Drosophila melanogaster: one gene and its partners. The protein of the gene in region 1 binds, or shares a complex with, the protein of each later gene. Each region holds a gene or a part of one and is shown in the gene's direction. Other genes may lie near its edges. The genes, in order: Orc3, Orc2 and Orc4.

Evidence for each region.
Region 2: the proteins of Orc3 (region 1) and Orc2 are in contact, whole or in part, in a cryo-EM structure (PDB 7JK6), measured with the Drosophila melanogaster proteins. Residues at the interface, in NP_476904.1 of Drosophila melanogaster: Gly10 (codon at 3,451), Cys11 (codon at 3,454), Phe12 (codon at 3,457), Val13 (codon at 3,460), Tyr14 (codon at 3,463), Lys15 (codon at 3,466), Asn16 (codon at 3,469), Ala18 (codon at 3,475), Thr19 (codon at 3,478), Arg20 (codon at 3,481), Ser38 (codon at 3,535), Leu39 (codon at 3,538), Leu40 (codon at 3,541), Tyr50 (codon at 3,571), Tyr53 (codon at 3,580), Arg54 (codon at 3,583), Asn106 (codon at 3,739), Pro108 (codon at 3,745), Arg135 (codon at 3,826), Asp136 (codon at 3,829), Ala142 (codon at 3,847), Arg177 (codon at 3,952), Arg180 (codon at 3,961), Asp308 (codon at 4,404), His312 (codon at 4,416), Gln316 (codon at 4,428), Lys319 (codon at 4,437), Tyr320 (codon at 4,440), Met323 (codon at 4,449), Phe327 (codon at 4,461); in NP_731873.1 of Drosophila melanogaster: Ala331 (codon at 3,114), Ile332 (codon at 3,117), Lys342 (codon at 3,147), Met344 (codon at 3,153), Cys345 (codon at 3,156), Ile346 (codon at 3,159), Leu347 (codon at 3,162), Asn348 (codon at 3,165), Glu349 (codon at 3,168), Phe351 (codon at 3,174), Tyr356 (codon at 3,189), Leu358 (codon at 3,195), His369 (codon at 3,228), Lys375 (codon at 3,246), Thr377 (codon at 3,252), Val378 (codon at 3,255), Leu379 (codon at 3,258), Val380 (codon at 3,261), Val381 (codon at 3,264), Asn382 (codon at 3,267), Phe385 (codon at 3,276), Asp392 (codon at 3,297), Ser396 (codon at 3,309), Asp400 (codon at 3,321), Ile401 (codon at 3,324), Leu402 (codon at 3,327), Asp403 (codon at 3,330), Asn410 (codon at 3,351), His412 (codon at 3,357), Glu413 (codon at 3,360).
Region 3: the proteins of Orc3 (region 1) and Orc4 are in contact, whole or in part, in a crystal structure (PDB 4XGC), measured with the Drosophila melanogaster proteins. Residues at the interface, in NP_476904.1 of Drosophila melanogaster: Ala217 (codon at 4,072), His250 (codon at 4,171), Gly251 (codon at 4,174), Leu253 (codon at 4,180), Pro254 (codon at 4,183), Tyr255 (codon at 4,186), His256 (codon at 4,189); in NP_477320.1 of Drosophila melanogaster: Lys395 (codon at 3,178), Glu398 (codon at 3,187), His399 (codon at 3,190), Ile402 (codon at 3,199), Lys419 (codon at 3,250), Lys422 (codon at 3,259).

What each region holds. Positions count from the first base shown.
Region 1 is NT_033778.4:13,202,175-13,208,568, reverse strand, and holds Orc3 (origin recognition complex subunit 3), read left to right. Parts: upstream 1-2,021; 5' UTR 2,022-2,060; coding exon of another isoform or gene 2,061-2,188; intron 2,189-2,244; coding exon of another isoform or gene 2,245-2,389; intron 2,390-2,445; coding exon of another isoform or gene 2,446-2,571; intron 2,572-2,643; coding exon of another isoform or gene 2,644-2,793; intron 2,794-2,852; coding exon of another isoform or gene 2,853-3,093; intron 3,094-3,168; coding exon of another isoform or gene 3,169-3,179; 5' UTR 3,180-3,360; coding exon 3,361-3,387; intron 3,388-3,450; coding exon 3,451-4,254; intron 4,255-4,313; coding exon 4,314-5,551; intron 5,552-5,616; coding exon 5,617-5,713; 3' UTR 5,714-5,841; downstream 5,842-6,394. Other genes in the region: FLASH (FLICE-associated huge protein), read right to left, coding at 1-316, 376-918, 973-1,163, 1,220-1,477; CG34315 (uncharacterized protein), read left to right, coding at 2,061-2,188, 2,245-2,389, 2,446-2,571, 2,644-2,793, 2,853-3,093, 3,169-3,179; ValRS (Valyl-tRNA synthetase), read right to left, coding at 5,975-6,394.
Region 2 is NT_033777.3:13,962,953-13,967,611, forward strand, and holds Orc2 (origin recognition complex subunit 2), read left to right. Parts: upstream 1-1,932; 5' UTR 1,933-1,981; intron 1,982-2,039; 5' UTR 2,040-2,055; coding exon 2,056-2,629; intron 2,630-2,697; coding exon 2,698-3,543; intron 3,544-3,613; coding exon 3,614-4,050; 3' UTR 4,051-4,123; downstream 4,124-4,659. Other genes in the region: Kots (kotsubu), read right to left, coding at 1-695, 780-922. UniProt on the Drosophila melanogaster protein: Component of the origin recognition complex (ORC) that binds origins of replication. DNA-binding is ATP-dependent, however specific DNA sequences that define origins of replication have not been identified so far.
Region 3 is NT_033778.4:24,795,155-24,799,227, reverse strand, and holds Orc4 (origin recognition complex subunit 4), read left to right. Parts: upstream 1-1,813; 5' UTR 1,814-1,935; coding exon 1,936-2,127; intron 2,128-2,187; coding exon 2,188-3,375; 3' UTR 3,376-3,488; downstream 3,489-4,073. Other genes in the region: CG3611 (uncharacterized protein), read right to left, coding at 1-118; CG12849 (uncharacterized protein), read right to left, coding at 615-764, 828-992, 1,042-1,197, 1,256-1,303; ETH (ecdysis triggering hormone), read left to right, coding at 3,770-3,955, 4,014-4,073.

The sequences.
Region 1 (6,394 bases):
TTTAGAAAAATCCGCCGATTCTGGGTTAATTAAGCTTAACCCCGGAATAATCTCATGTTTTGGAATACAAGGTTCAGCAATTAAACCATTTGTCGGTTGAGTAATATCCTTCGTCTCTACTTTTGATTCCTTTGAGGAATTTGCATTGGTTTCTAAAGCAGCATCCCTTCGGTTGGAAACGACTTTTTCAGCCGGTTGAGATTCAGTTACGAGTTTGACGGTCACGGGGACTGGGCTCTTGCTGCGTTGGTCATTTGTTTCATCGTCAGTAAGTGTGATGATGGCATTTGCTTTTTCTCTTGGCAATTGTATCTTGCTACAAAAATCAGATGGTGCTATCAACAAATGTAACTTATGTCCCTCTGCTTTACTGACCTGGGCGATGCGGATTGGCTTCGCCGTTTGGCGTGCCGGGAACTGCTTTCTTGATTCCTGTGATGATCTCGCCGGGAATTATGTTTTGGACTCCGGCTGCGATGTGGATCTGGACGACGAGCCTGTGCAGTAGATTTCCGATCGGTGGTCTTTGAGTGTTCCGGCCTGGGAGACTTGCTTCTTTGGACCGATTTCTTGGCGTCTTCTCTTGTCCTAGATTTCCAAGCATCATCCTTTGAGGATGACTTCTTGTCATCATCTTTATTGGTCGCCATCTTATTATCCTCCTTGGATTTTACGCCTCTTTCAACATCTTTTGATACGACTTTCGTTGTGTCATCTTTTTTGGTCATCATCTTCCTAGCATCATCCTTAGCGGCGTCCTTTGCAGCCGTTTTGAACGGATTTCTATTCGTTTCCGGATATTTCCTGACATCGATTGGTGTAGATTGAAATTCTTTCGGACGCTTACTTTCGGGTTCCCTTGCACCTGGTACGTCAAACGCCCGTGCTCGTTTTCGTCGGAAGCATACATCGTCCTTTCTGTTGAACAATGTGTTGTTTGTTAAGAAGCAGGGAGTCAATATGCTAACTTACTCGTTTCGCAGCTCGGCAATCAGTGTCTCTTTTCTCTTTACCTCCGCCTTAGCTGTGTCCAGTAGATTCTGTAGATTAACCTCCATGGTTTTTATCTTCTTGCCAAGTGCCTTATTCTCAACCTTTAGCGCTTCAATTTCGGCCAGTGCCTTTTCGTATTTGGCTTCCCATGCCTGTAGCTCCTTGGTATTCTGTGAGATGGTAAATGGGTAACTCTGCTGAAAGGACGTATTCCTGCACAACTTACACGATCTTCGGCCTTCTGAAAGTCGTCCAAATCATCGTAGATGTCCAGTTCAAGGGATCTGTCCATTTGGTCAGGCTTCTTTGAACCTGCAGGCTCTATATCGTACAAATCGTGATAGATATCCAAATCCATGGATTTATCCTTAACGTTGGACTTCATCCCGCCCGCGTCCTGGTCTTCCAAATCCATCAAGTCCTCCAGAGCTTCGGGCAGCACCAGTTCTCCGCCAGATTTCGTGGCATATGCAGGCGTTTCCATACCAATCGCTTACGTTTCTTCTTGGCTGCCCTTTAAACAAGGATACATAAAATGAATTGTTAGAGTTACTGTTTTTTAATGGAGCTACTTTATTGATTACCTGTTCAGTCATAAATTGATCAAAATTCGAAACACAAAAGAATTTCAATGTTCTTGATTTTTGTTTCAGGGAATAAAAGTTCCACTAAAGCTCAATGGTCACTGTCCTGAGCATTTCCTCCAAACTGGCGTGCAATTTGTTTCCCTGCCGTGTATTTGTATAAATGTAATTATTATTATTATTCTATTTAATATTGTTAGAAAATCCCGTGTTGCCGCCAATCGATAACAGAAGATGCAGTTGATTATCGGAAGCAACAGCTGACCGGCTGAAAATGTGGCAACCCTGATAGTGGATATCGATATCCAGCAGCAACATTTGGCGCCAAAACGAATATTTTAAAAATTTTATTATGCACTTACGTGTTTTCCCAAGAATATAATTTTAAAATCAATCTAGTTCCCATTTCGTATTACTGTACACTTAAATTCGTTAAAAAAAAACATCACAATACAAACAATAATACTCGAGAAACACTACACAATGGCAGACATTCCGGAAAAAAGTTCTTACTACAAGAAGGAAAGAAGAAAGTTCGCTCTGATCACTTACCTACTAACCGCGATATTCCTGATCCTTGCGCTGTTGCAATGGGCCACTTTCCGCTTTGTGTACGTATGTATTTTCACATTACTTCATCCTCACTGCACTTTTTCTTAATTTTCAGAAATTTTCTAAGGGAATTTTTTACTTCGTACCATTGGTTGAGCTGCCTTTTTTTTGGAATAGGCCTGATACTCCTCGTACTTTTCATATTTTTCGAGGTACTGCGCTTTAATAAAATGGTAAACTGGTTGTTTGCCTTTCTAATTGTAAGTCTACAATGTGAAACATAACCTGGGTGGCAGTATGAACTTATTCTTTCCAGTTTGAATGCATTGTACTGGGGATTGCACCGCTGGTTGCCCGCCACTACAAGTATCAGTTTCTCTTCAGCTTCCTTATATGGACCGTAGCATTGGCGCTTTTTATTGTCTGTGGTTCCTTTCTTCCGGTAAGAAGAGTCCACATGAAAGCCATTTGATTCAAATCTGAAGCTTCACATTTTTATTGTTATCCCCTTAAGCTGGATCTTACTTTGGATGTTGTGGTGCTATTTGTGCTTGCAGTGGTTTCCATTATCGGCGCCATATACTTCGTGATGCTCTACATCGTGGCTAATGTCGCATACTCGTTTATAATCGCCCGTTGCTTTATAGTGATCAGCATCTTGATGGTTAGTACTGAGTCATACATTTTTGAATTAGTTTCTGTCATTTAGTTTCCTCCTTACAGTTTGTCATGTATCACGCGCAGATTATAAACGGTGGAAGGTTCGCCGAGATGCGCACGAAGGACTACTTCCTGGCAGCCATCATACTGTTCCTCGATTTCCTGCTCCTCTATCTTTTCTCATTCCAAGTGGCCCCAAAATGGTCGGATCGTTGCGATGGCGAACGTTCAAAAAACTTGGTGCTGTTCACAGAAACTACGACGAATTCGTATCCACCAAAATGGTGGCGTACGAGCACGAAGGGTATGATTTCTTATTATTAGTTCATGTTAGATGAAATATTCAATTAATTTATACTTTTCACACTTGTTTTCAAAGATACCCCCTAAAGTCGTTAGCCAACACTGCCGCCCGTTTGGCGCCAAACACAACAGCCAGCTGATTTCATTTCGCGTTCCTACCGGTGAAGAAACTTTAATTGGCACAGAGCTGACCTAAACAAATAAATAAATAAACGCAACCCGGCGACTTAAAGACTCCACGACATCGGGCCGCAGTGCAAAGCCAGCGATGGATCCCACCATTTCAGTGTCCAAGGTGAGTGGCTTCGGCTTCCAAACTGGACATAGATGTTTAACTACTTATTTTTGTTGTCTGCAGGGCTGTTTTGTCTACAAAAATGGCGCTACGAGAGCAGGGAAAAAGGCGGCCAGCAAACGGAAGCGTCCTGCCGCAGAATCCAGTAGTCTTCTTGGCAAAGAGGTAGTGCAGCAGCCCTTCTATGAGGAATATCGCAAGGCCTGGAATCAGATAAACGATCACATTGCCGACCTGCAGCACCGCAGCTATGCCCGCACTCTGGAGCAACTGGTGGACTTTGTGGTGGGGCAGGCAGAGCGCGACACCCCGGACGAGGTGCTGCCCACCGCCGCCTTGCTAACGGGCATTAATCAGCCGGATCATCTCAGCCAGTTCACGGCACTTACCCAGCGACTCCATGCCCAACGTGCTGCAATGGTATGTGTGCTGCAGTCCAGGGATTGCGCCACTCTCAAGGCGGCCGTTGAGACATTGGTTTTCGGGCTCGTAGAAGATAATGCAGAAGTGGAGCAAATGGAAGACGAGGACGAGGACGAGGATGGTGCCGAACGGGATCGCAAGCGGCTACGTCGCTCGCAGTGCACCATGAAGCAGTTGAAGTCTTGGTACACGAACAATTTTGACTCGGAACAGAAGCGCCGCCAGCTGGTCGTCATCCTTCCCGACTTTGAGTGCTTTAACGCAAGCGTGCTGCAGGATCTTATTCTAATTTTGAGCGCTCACTGCGGCTCGCTTCCATTCGTCCTGGTCCTGGGAGTGGCCACGGCCATGACAGCTGTCCATGGGACACTACCATACCACGTCAGCAGCAAGATTCGTCTAAGGGTGTTCCAGACTCAAGCTGCTCCCACGGGCCTTAATGAGGTAATATTCCTTAACTCTGTGCTAGTTTATGTACTAATCGGTTTTCTAACAACCTTTAGGTGCTGGATAAAGTTCTGCTGTCGCCCAAGTACGCTTTCCACCTGTCGGGAAAGACATTCAAGTTCCTGACGCACATCTTCCTATACTACGACTTCTCCATCCACGGCTTTATTCAGGGCTTCAAGTACTGCCTGATGGAACACTTCTTTGGTGGGAATGCCTTTGCTCTTTGCACAGACTACAGCAAAGCATTGGGACGCATAAAGCAGCTGACCCACGAGGATATGGAAACCATCAGAAGGCTCCCATCGTTTCGTCCGTACGTCGAGCAGATCAATGATTGCAAACGCATCATAGCCGTGCTCACGGACGATGACTACCTAAAGAAGAAACTGCCGCAGTTGCTGCGCGACTGCCTGCTCCACTTCCTGCTTTTCCGCTGCTCTCTGGAGTTCCTTACAGAGCTGGTTGGTGATTTGCCGCGCTGTCCGCTGGGAAAGCTACGCCGGGAACTGTACGTCAACTGTCTTAATCGTGCGATCATTTCGACGCCGGAGTACAAGGAGTGCCTGCAGATGCTAAGCTTTCTGTCCAAGGACGAATTTGTTGCTAAAGTGAATCGAGCCCTGGAAAGAACCGAACAGTTCCTGGTTGAAGAAATTGCTCCGCTGGAATTGGGCGAGGCCTGCACTGCTGTGCTGAGACCTAAGTTAGAAGCTATACGCCTTGCAGTGGACGAAGTGGTCAAGGCCACCATGGCGACAATTACAACGACATCGCCCAATGAAACCCGCCAGGCGACTGACCATTTGACTCCGGTGGCCTCGCGTCAAGAATTGAAAGATCAGCTCCTACAGCGTAGCAAGGAGGACAAGATGCGGCATCAGCTGAACACGCCCACCACCCAATTCGGACGAGCTCTACAAAAGACTCTGCAGCTTATCGAAACGCAGATTGTACAGGATCATCTCCGTGCGCTGCAGGATGCACCACCTATTCACGAACTTTTTGTGTTCAGCGACATTGCTACCGTGCGGCGAAACATAATTGGTGCTCCGCGGGCTGCACTGCACACTGCCCTGAATAATCCACATTTTTACATGCAGTGCAAGTGCTGCGAGCTACAAGATCAATCACTGCTGGTTGGCACACTGCCCGATCTCTCCGTGGTTTACAAGCTGCACCTGGAGTGCGGTCGCATGATCAACCTTTTCGACTGGCTGCAGGCCTTTCGATCTGTTGTGAGCGACAGCGACCACGAGGAAGTGGCCCAGGAACAAATCGATCCCCAGATCCAGTGAGTAAAAAAATGGATTTCTCTCTGTAATATCATCAATTTCATTTGGTTTTCCTTTCAACCAGGGCCCGATTCACGCGTGCCGTAGCCGAGTTGCAGTTTCTGGGGTACATTAAGATGTCGAAGCGCAAGACGGATCATGCCACTCGATTAACCTGGTAGCTCGCTCGGGCTATGAATAACCAAAATCCCTTAGGTATTTTTATCTTTTCTATTTATTTATATTGGGGCAAATTTCATGTGTGGGACGTTATGAATAAATAAAACATCAATCGATTTGTCTACTCTGTACGAAATGCATTAACTTTGTTTGCGAGTGAAGCGCGTTCTTGTATTTTTTAAGTAAAGCCCAGCAGCTGGCAAGGCAAGCGTACTAAATATCAATTACCAGTCTTCCCGACTAGCGGTTACCACGTTCCCTGTTCACATTAGTTTCAGAGTCTCGATGGCGGCAGCGATGCGTTCGATCTCTGCCCGCGACTCGCAGAGTTTTGTCTCGTTGGCCTCCTGCACCTCGGCGGGAACCTTAGTTGCGTAGTCGGCGGCCTGGATGGCCTGAGTTAGCTTGCCCACCGTCTGCACCAGCTGGTCGCTCTTCTTCTGCAGCTTGGCTATCTCCTTGTCCGCCTCCACGAGTCCCTTGAGCAGCAGGTGCACCTCGCACTGGCCCGTCACGGTGAGGATCGCACAGCCCTGCGGTGCGGGACTGTCAAAGACCACATTGGAGCAGTAGGAGATTGTGGCCAGATCGCTGGCGTAGCGTTTGAGTATTTCACTGGGCACCGAATCCGTGCATACTATATACACCTCGGTTTTAACCTTGTTGGGCAGATTATAGTCGGA
Region 2 (4,659 bases), on another chromosome or scaffold:
CCCGGATGACTTTGACTTCTGGATTAAGCTGCAGCATCTCCAAGGGCAAACTTAGTGGTATTATCATCTTGGGCTTTAGATGGACGTGATAAGCTCCGTCGCTGGTTTTGGTTCCCAACATACGGAGCGTCAAGTTCTTAATGTCCTGAACTCCAGTGTTCGTGGGCAATTGAACACGGAAAGCGAACGCCTTGCTTTCGGCCATCTTGGGCACAATGGTGTAGATATCCCGAAACGGTGTAGCTACTATCTGACCGTGGTCAATCATACGGACATTGGCTTCTTGCTTCTTTTGGCAAACCGTCAAAACATGACCGCGATGGACCTTGTCGCCCACACTGATGGCCACGAGGGTGTCCTCCCGCACTCCTTCCATACGAATCATCTTCTTATTCTGCATGCAGCGCTGCATGTTGACCGTCATTCGCTCAATGGCCTCCACATTCGCCACGTGCACCACCCAAATGGGTCCATCGTTCTCCATGAAAGTCACGCGGCACTTGAAAAACTCCATGCCCGACGGCAGCAAATGTTTGCGCCAGTTTTCCGATAGATCCGGCTTGTTCGGCACAGCAACTGTGGGCTCCACACATGGGATTGGCGATTTAGTGCGAGTTTTAGCCAGAGCAACTTGGTTCTCTACGCTCTGGATTGGATTCAACGCCGGTTGAAGAGGCCGGCACTCCACCAAGGGTCTGGAAACGCATTTGTATTGTATAAGAATTAAAAACCCCTAACTTAATGCACTGCTGCGCAACGGATTTACTAATTTAACTCACGGCATAATGATGCACACCTGCCTGTGCCTCTGCCAATCCAATTTCTGGCACTTTTCATTGCAGTACGGTTCTCCACACCGCTGGCACATCAATCTGGTCGGAGTGCCACAGACGACGCATGTCTTTTCCTCCGACTTTTCCATTTCTTCAATTCAAAGTAACAACGCAAGAACGTGTGAATGAAAGAACGGCGCGTTAAAGGAAACGCAGCAAAATGGCGCTAACAGAACTTTTAGCACGCGATGAAATACAAAGTGAAAATCTATTTACGCTGGACGAGAACTTTCTATGTTTTCGTTTTGAAAAAGGTGGAATCCTTTAGAATTTAAGTGCGCGATTCACAACTCACAAACATGCGATACGTTCACTAAACGCGTTTAAATTCGAAGCTCGCTGGGCACGCGCTTCAGTGCATTGAACGAACGTGGGAAGAAAGAGAACAGGACGATATCGATATCGGTTGGTTTTCGATTTACAGCGCACTGATGGAAGTAAACTTGATCGTTAATTAAAAAAGGAAAAATAAGGCTTACGAAGTTTTTAAACTTTAATTAAAACGACACAACATATGCTAAATATTCTACATATTCCAGTTACAATCAATTTCGCCAAGCCATTTTCATGGAAGTTGAATACTCTTTGAACCTGTTTGAATATATCTGAAAACGCAAATCTACTTTGTGTTATTATTTTGCCAATATAGGCAATATTATTTGAAAATTAACCGCAAGTCCATTGACGACCGCAATTCAGAATAAGAACGTAGCGTAATTTTCCCATCTTCAAATATTGTTTTTCCTAAACTTACCGATTTTAACACTTTTTAGTTTTAAAAACGTTTGTGGTTAATCCGCAAGGAATTTGTGACAGTGAAAAAATAACCGCTTTGTACGCGCACGTGTTGCCAACAAACACTTCAGCTTTTGTCAGTGACTGGATTCTAATTTAAATTTATCGATAACGTATGCAATTCTTATTCGAACAATATAGTTATTTCTAAAAACTGTGTCACGGAATTTCTTTTTGTAATTATTACCTATATAAATATATATTTATACAAATATTTATAACATTTGTGTTTTAATTGTCATGCCCCTTTAGTTTTTTTTACGCTAGAAACTTAGCTACTTCCTAGGTCGAGAGCTGGCCACACTCTTGGCATGTCTTAGTTATCGATAATTCCCGCCACTTCTGAGCATTGAGTATATTTTGCGAACTATTTGTTTACCAATTGAATATTTTGATAATCAGGGCCCCCAGTGAAGTGGCAAGCGTCATGAGTGCCAGCAACAAAGGCGGTTACAAGACGCCGCGGAAGGAGAACCTCATGTCCATTGAGAACCTCACCAATTCGGAGGAGGAATCCGAGGACTTGAACACGGCAATGGTTGGGAATGCAGTGGAATCTCAGCCCAAGGTCACCAGTCGGCGTTCCACCCGACGTCCAAGTCCCACCAAGAAATACCAGGCGTACCAGAAGGAAAGCAATGGAAAAGGCCAGGAAGAGCGAATTGTTGTGAACTATGTGGAAATGTCCGATGAACGGAGCAGCGATGCGGAGGATCAGGAAGAAGAAGAAAGCATCGAGGAGTCGGAAAATGCTGCCCGTCCCGCTGCCAAGGATCTGCATCTCATCCAATCCGAGTACAATGTGGCCGGCACCAGCATGTTTGGCTTCAATACGCCCAAGAAACGCGATGCCATGGCACTGGCCGCCCTAAATGCCACGCCCTGCACGCCCAAGACCCCAAAAACGCCGCGTTTGGGTGTCAAGACGCCGGATACGAAGCGCAAGAAGTCCATGGATCAGCCAAAGACTCCCGCCCATGTGCGCACCCGCGTCAAGAAGCGTGGGTAGCCTTTTTCTGCGTCCTTTTACCATTTTTTCCATTATTTATAAATTCATTATCACTTTCAGAGATTGCCAAAATAGTGGCCGACTCAGATGAGGATTTTTCTGGAGATGAAAGCGATTTCCGGCCCAGTGACGAGGAATCCTCCTCCAGCAGCAGTAGCAGCGATGCTGGCAACTCCTCTGACAACGACGCCGCCGATGATGAGCCCAAAACGCCCAGTAGAGCCCGCCGTGCCATTGTAGTCCCCGTTCTGCCGAAAACTCCATCGGCAGCCCGCCTGCGACAATCGGCGAGGGCGAAAAAATCGAATGAGTTTGTGCCCGAGAGCGATGGTTACTTTCACTCGCATGCCAGCAGCAAGATCCTCACTTCGGATCACACCTTGGATCGCCTAAAGAATCCTCGCCTGGCCGCCGATCGTGTTTTCAGTTTGCTGTCGGAAATCAAGACATCGGCGGAGCATGAGGGTTCTATTAATGCCATTATGGAGGAGTATCGATCGTACTTTCCCAAGTGGATGTGTATTCTGAACGAAGGCTTCAATATACTTCTATATGGATTGGGCTCCAAGCACCAGCTGCTGCAGTCATTCCATCGGGAAGTTTTGCATAAGCAAACGGTATTGGTGGTGAATGGCTTCTTTCCCAGTCTGACCATCAAGGATATGCTGGATAGCATCACAAGCGACATATTAGATGCGGGCATTAGTCCGGCTAATCCACATGAAGCAGTGGATATGATCGAGGAGGAGTTCGCACTGATACCGGAAACACATTTGTTCTTAATCGTCCATAATCTGGATGGAGCCATGCTTCGCAATGTGAAGGCACAGGCGATTCTTTCGCGCCTGGCGCGCATACCGAACATTCATCTACTGGCCTCCATTGATCACATAAATACCCCACTGTGTGAGTGCACCGATGCTTTGAGATCTTTATAGTGCGACAGCAAAACTAATTATTGTTTACGAATTTGCAGTGTGGGACCAGGGAAAGCTGTGCAGCTTCAACTTCTCGTGGTGGGACTGCACAACAATGCTGCCATATACGAACGAAACTGCGTTCGAGAACTCGCTGCTGGTGCAGAATTCCGGCGAATTGGCCCTCTCCTCGATGCGCAGTGTCTTCTCATCGCTAACGACCAATTCGCGTGGCATTTACATGCTGATTGTTAAGTATCAATTGAAGAACAAGGGCAATGCCACATACCAGGGCATGCCGTTCAGGGATCTCTATTCGAGTTGTCGCGAAGCATTTTTGGTCAGCTCAGATCTGGCACTGCGTGCCCAGCTCACCGAGTTCCTCGACCACAAGCTGGTCAAATCGAAACGGAGCGTTGATGGCTCCGAACAGCTAACCATTCCCATTGATGGCGCACTGCTGCAGCAGTTTCTCGAGGAGCAGGAGAAGAAATAGGCCATCGGCGTAATTTTAGAACATATTAATTTATTATCTAATATTGTTAAATACAATTACAATTTCGCTTTTTAAAAATGTTGTGTTGCTGTCACTTGTATTGCCCATGATGAGTGCGCAGTGTTTGTTTTCGCTCTTTTTTATTTTTTTGTCAATTTCTACACATTAAGATTGGCATGCATAAAATTTGTCGCTTTGCTCGAAGATACACATTCTAGGATGGCTAGTTTTTTTCCTCAGCTCCAGTTGCGAGCATATAGCAACACAAAACTTCACAAAGCACTGCAAGTGCTCGACGACTGCGGGGATGAGAGCGCATTTGGATACGATTTTAAGGATCAGAAGAGGCGAACTAAACATAGCTAAGCATGCCAAAAATGATAAGACTCACTACCGCCTGACCATTCCGTGCTCCTCATCCATTCCAAAGGCTAATATCGGTTACCTATTCACTATACAGACACGCACATACACAGATTAAAGCGTTGGACTTGTAACTAGTTAATTGTGCACTCGAAACGAAATGTAATTGCTGCGACTAAGGCTAGTTTATTTACACTTTCTTGATAGCAAATCACATGCGAAGTCAATCGGAAGTACACATACAAT
Region 3 (4,073 bases), about 12 Mb from region 1:
ACTGCATCTTAGGGTACCACGCGAAGGTCTCCTGCCAGTGCCTCGTCGTCCTTTCCATGGCATGACTGAAGGCGAGCTGGTAGCGCAGCTGCTCCGTGGTCACTATGTCCGCCGGCATCTTGTCAGGGGTGTGGGGTTGTGTTTACTTTACTTCGTGTCCTTCTGGTTGTGGAGTGGATTGATATATGTGTCCGAAATGTGTGAAGTTTGTGGCTGGCCCACCTGATTGGCAGCTGAGTTGCCAGTCCCGAGTGCCAATCCCGTTTTCTGTGTGCTCCCTAATCGCATTAGCAGCCACTTGACAGACGACAGGTGCAGTGCATCCAGGTCACTGCCAGCCACCTGTGCAGAAACTCTGCACATAATTGTTAACGCTTACGAACTGGCCTAGTCTGAAACCTATGTACATGTTTAAGTTAACTTTCGTCACTACACTATATTTATTTTCGTAAATCTCAGTAATGTGACAAATACATCACATACAGACCCACTTAGACTTACTATATTTACTATATTGGTCCTGCTGACCCCCATCCAATACTAAAACGGCATAACACCTTACCAATATTTCTGCTTACGGGTTGAAGAGCCTGGATATTACTGGATTTGACTGTTTAGCTCTTGGTAAAGTATAGGATGACATCGGTGCGCGGAATGCCCGCGACCATCCATGTGCTGTTCATCATGTATCTGCCATCGGGGATGATCGACTGGACCAGCTTGTTCAGATGCTGCACGGGAAGCTTGTCGAGCACGATGTCGTGCTGTGGGTGGGTGGGTGAGAAAGGCGAAGGTTATGCGGCATGAACATGGCAACGCTCACTCACGTCGTAGGGGCAGGTGTGGTTCAGGTTCGAGTAGGGGCCGAAGGTCTGGTAGACCCAGTTGGCGATCACGTGCTTGCGGTCGCGCATGAACTTGCAGGAGTCCACCTTGAAATCAAAGTTGTACAGGACTCGCCTGTTCTCGCGCATCCTCAGCTGGAATCTGGTCTGGAAGATGGTCGGGTGGTGTGAGACCGACACAGTTCTATACTCTTACCTCGCAGTTGTCGACGGGCAGGCGGAACATCTTTGTTTTTAGCGAAAGGTACTTGTAGGTGCGGTTCACGGACTTCAAGTAACAGTACTCAAAGTCCATAAACATCCTGTCGCGCACGAGGCAGACTACATTATTGAATTCGAAGTGTCCTCGGATCTTTGGATATCAATTATTCTATAGTGCCATCTATTAGCCATACGCATTCGATTCTTACTGCCATCGGAGACATAAAAATCAGCAGAAAAGTCCACAATCCGCTCATTCCTAAAGAGGTCTGGATCACAATAACCACAATACCGAGTGCCAAAAGCTGAAGCATTCCAAAAGTTATTAATTGTGATTACTCGATCCATTGCTGTTATGAAATTGCCAGCCGATATTAAATAATCTCTGAGAATCCATTGAGTGTTTAATAACTTATTTTAATGGACATTTAAAATACACAGCATTCCAAATAAACCTATTCCAGCAAATTGACCCTCAAAATGCCAACGACTATGCGATTAATAAAGAAATTTGTTCATATTTTTAAAGATGTTTATATGTATAATTGATTGTTATTTATAGAGTTACTATTGTACATATTCCTCAATCGTAGGTCCATTTTGTATGAACTAAAATGTTGATATTTCAAAATGTGCTAAAGCCGCAGAAATTAGATCGTATTGGTTTGTGGCACGAATATATTTTTCAGGCGGCTTAAGGCAACACTGAGTAGTATCAGAGTTCCAAACCACCGTACATTAAATGAACCAATATCGGTTTTGTTCCATCCCCAATGCATTGTTGACGTTTTTTGGCGCGACTTAATTACTGGCAGAAATCCAAACTATCTGTGCGTCCATTTAACTAATAAATAAGGAGGAATAAAGGAGTTCCGATCCGAGAGCGAAAATGCCGGAGGCGGATAGGGAGCTGGTCAGCATCAGGCGCTTCCTGAAGGAGCGCCTCCAGCGAGACTACACCACCTTGAGGGGCTACGCAAAGGAGCGGTCCAATGTGCGCCTATTGCTGCAACGCACAGCTGAAATGGGGGAATCCAACTCCTTGCTGCTCCTTGGGCCGCGGGGATCCGGAAAGACAACGGTATGAGTGCAGGCCTTACCGGGAAACCAATCCAGTAATCTATGCTTTCAAATTCTTTAGCTCATCAACTCCGTGCTGGCCGATTTGCTGCCCAATAAATCGTTCGGGGAAAACACTCTCATCGTCCACCTGGACGGTAATCTGCACACGGACGACCGAGTGGCCCTGAAGTCCATCACTGTGCAGATGCAGCTGGAGAACGCTGCGGATGGGAAAGTGTTCGGATCGTTCGCCGAGAACCTCGCCTTCCTGCTGCAATGCCTCAAGGCGGGTGGCAAGCATTCCAAGAGCGTGATCTTTATTCTCGAGGAGTTCGACCTCTTCTGTGCTCACCACAACCAGACCCTGCTCTACAACCTCTTCGACGTCTCCCAGTCAGCCCAGGCGCCCATCTGTGTACTTGGCGTTACCTGTCGCCTCGACGTGATCGAGCTGCTGGAGAAGCGGGTCAAGTCGCGTTTCTCGCACCGGCAGGTCTTTCTCTTTCCCAGCTTGCGGCGCTTTGAGGATTACGTTGACCTGTGCAGGGATCTACTGTCCCTCCCGACCGGCAATTCACTGTTGCTGGCGGCGGAGAAAATCTATAACCTACAAAACATCCAGTCGGGGGCACTTTACTTCTCCCGCAACCATTTTGACCCCGGGGAGTACGGCTTTTCGCCCAGACTACGCGATGCCTGGAACAAGCAAATATGCAAAGTCCTGGCCACTCAGCAGGCAAGAAGCACCCTCCAAGCGCTCCATGACTTCGACATTAGCGAGGCCTATCTCAAGAACTTCCTATTCCGCCTGGTGGCACATCTCCGACCGCAATCTCCCCACATCACAGCCGAAAAAATGGCTGCAGTGGGATCACAGTTTGAGGGCGACGACAAGATAGAGCTGCTTTGCGGGCTCTCAGTCCTAGAGCTGTGCCTGATCATCGCCATCAAGCACCATTCGCAGATTTACGATCGCGATTCCTTCAACTTCGAGATCATTTACGCGCGCTTTTCCAAGTTTGCCAAAGTGTCCACCACAATGCAGGCCGTGGAGCGGTCCATTGTCCTGAAGGCCTTCGAGCATTTACGCATCGCAGAGCTGATCATGCCGCTCACCGGTGGAGCTGGAGGGGGCGTAGGTAAGGTGCAGAAAGAGTTTGAGATGCATAAGCTGGCGCTGACATACAGCCAGATTCACCACTGTATGCAGCGATACCAGGCCCTTCCCACAGAGGTTGCTCAGTGGGCGCAAAGCTCTCTGATTTAGCAGCAGATCAGAAATACTTTGTATATTTATTTATTTAAAAAAAATTGTACCGAATCATTTAGTTGGTAAAGCCCTGTTTTGGGAAAATAAACTAATTTTAATTTATAAAACGTATATAAGAGAAAAGACAAGCATTTACATACGCAAGTGGTATGTACTATAAAATTTAGTTCTTATACAAATGTAAGTAATGTAATGTGTATGTATGCACTTAATTATGGCCAGGCATTTAGGTCAGGTTAGTTCAGTTTTATCTGCTTTGCACTTTCCGATCGATAATGCTAATTCCTGGAGTCACCCGCATTTCTATTCCACGCAAGATGCGGGTGGATCTCGCTATATAAAGGCCACCAATTGTGGAGCAGGAGTCAGGTGAAGCTTCAGTCGCATCAGCATGAGAATCATAACAGTCCTGTCTGTTTCGCTCTTGGTGGGTCTTGTGGCCATAAGCCAGGCAGACGACAGTAGTCCAGGATTCTTCCTAAAGATCACCAAGAACGTACCGCGGCTGGGCAAGCGAGGCGAGAACTTTGCCATAAAGAACCTAAAGACCATTCCTCGCATAGGACGCAGTGAGCACGTAAGTTATACCCATGGGCTTTCTTAAAGGATATTTTTAAACCATGAACTGTTTTCAGAGCTCTGTTACTCCTCTGCTGGCGTGGCTATGGGATTTGGAAACGAGTCCAAGCAAGCGG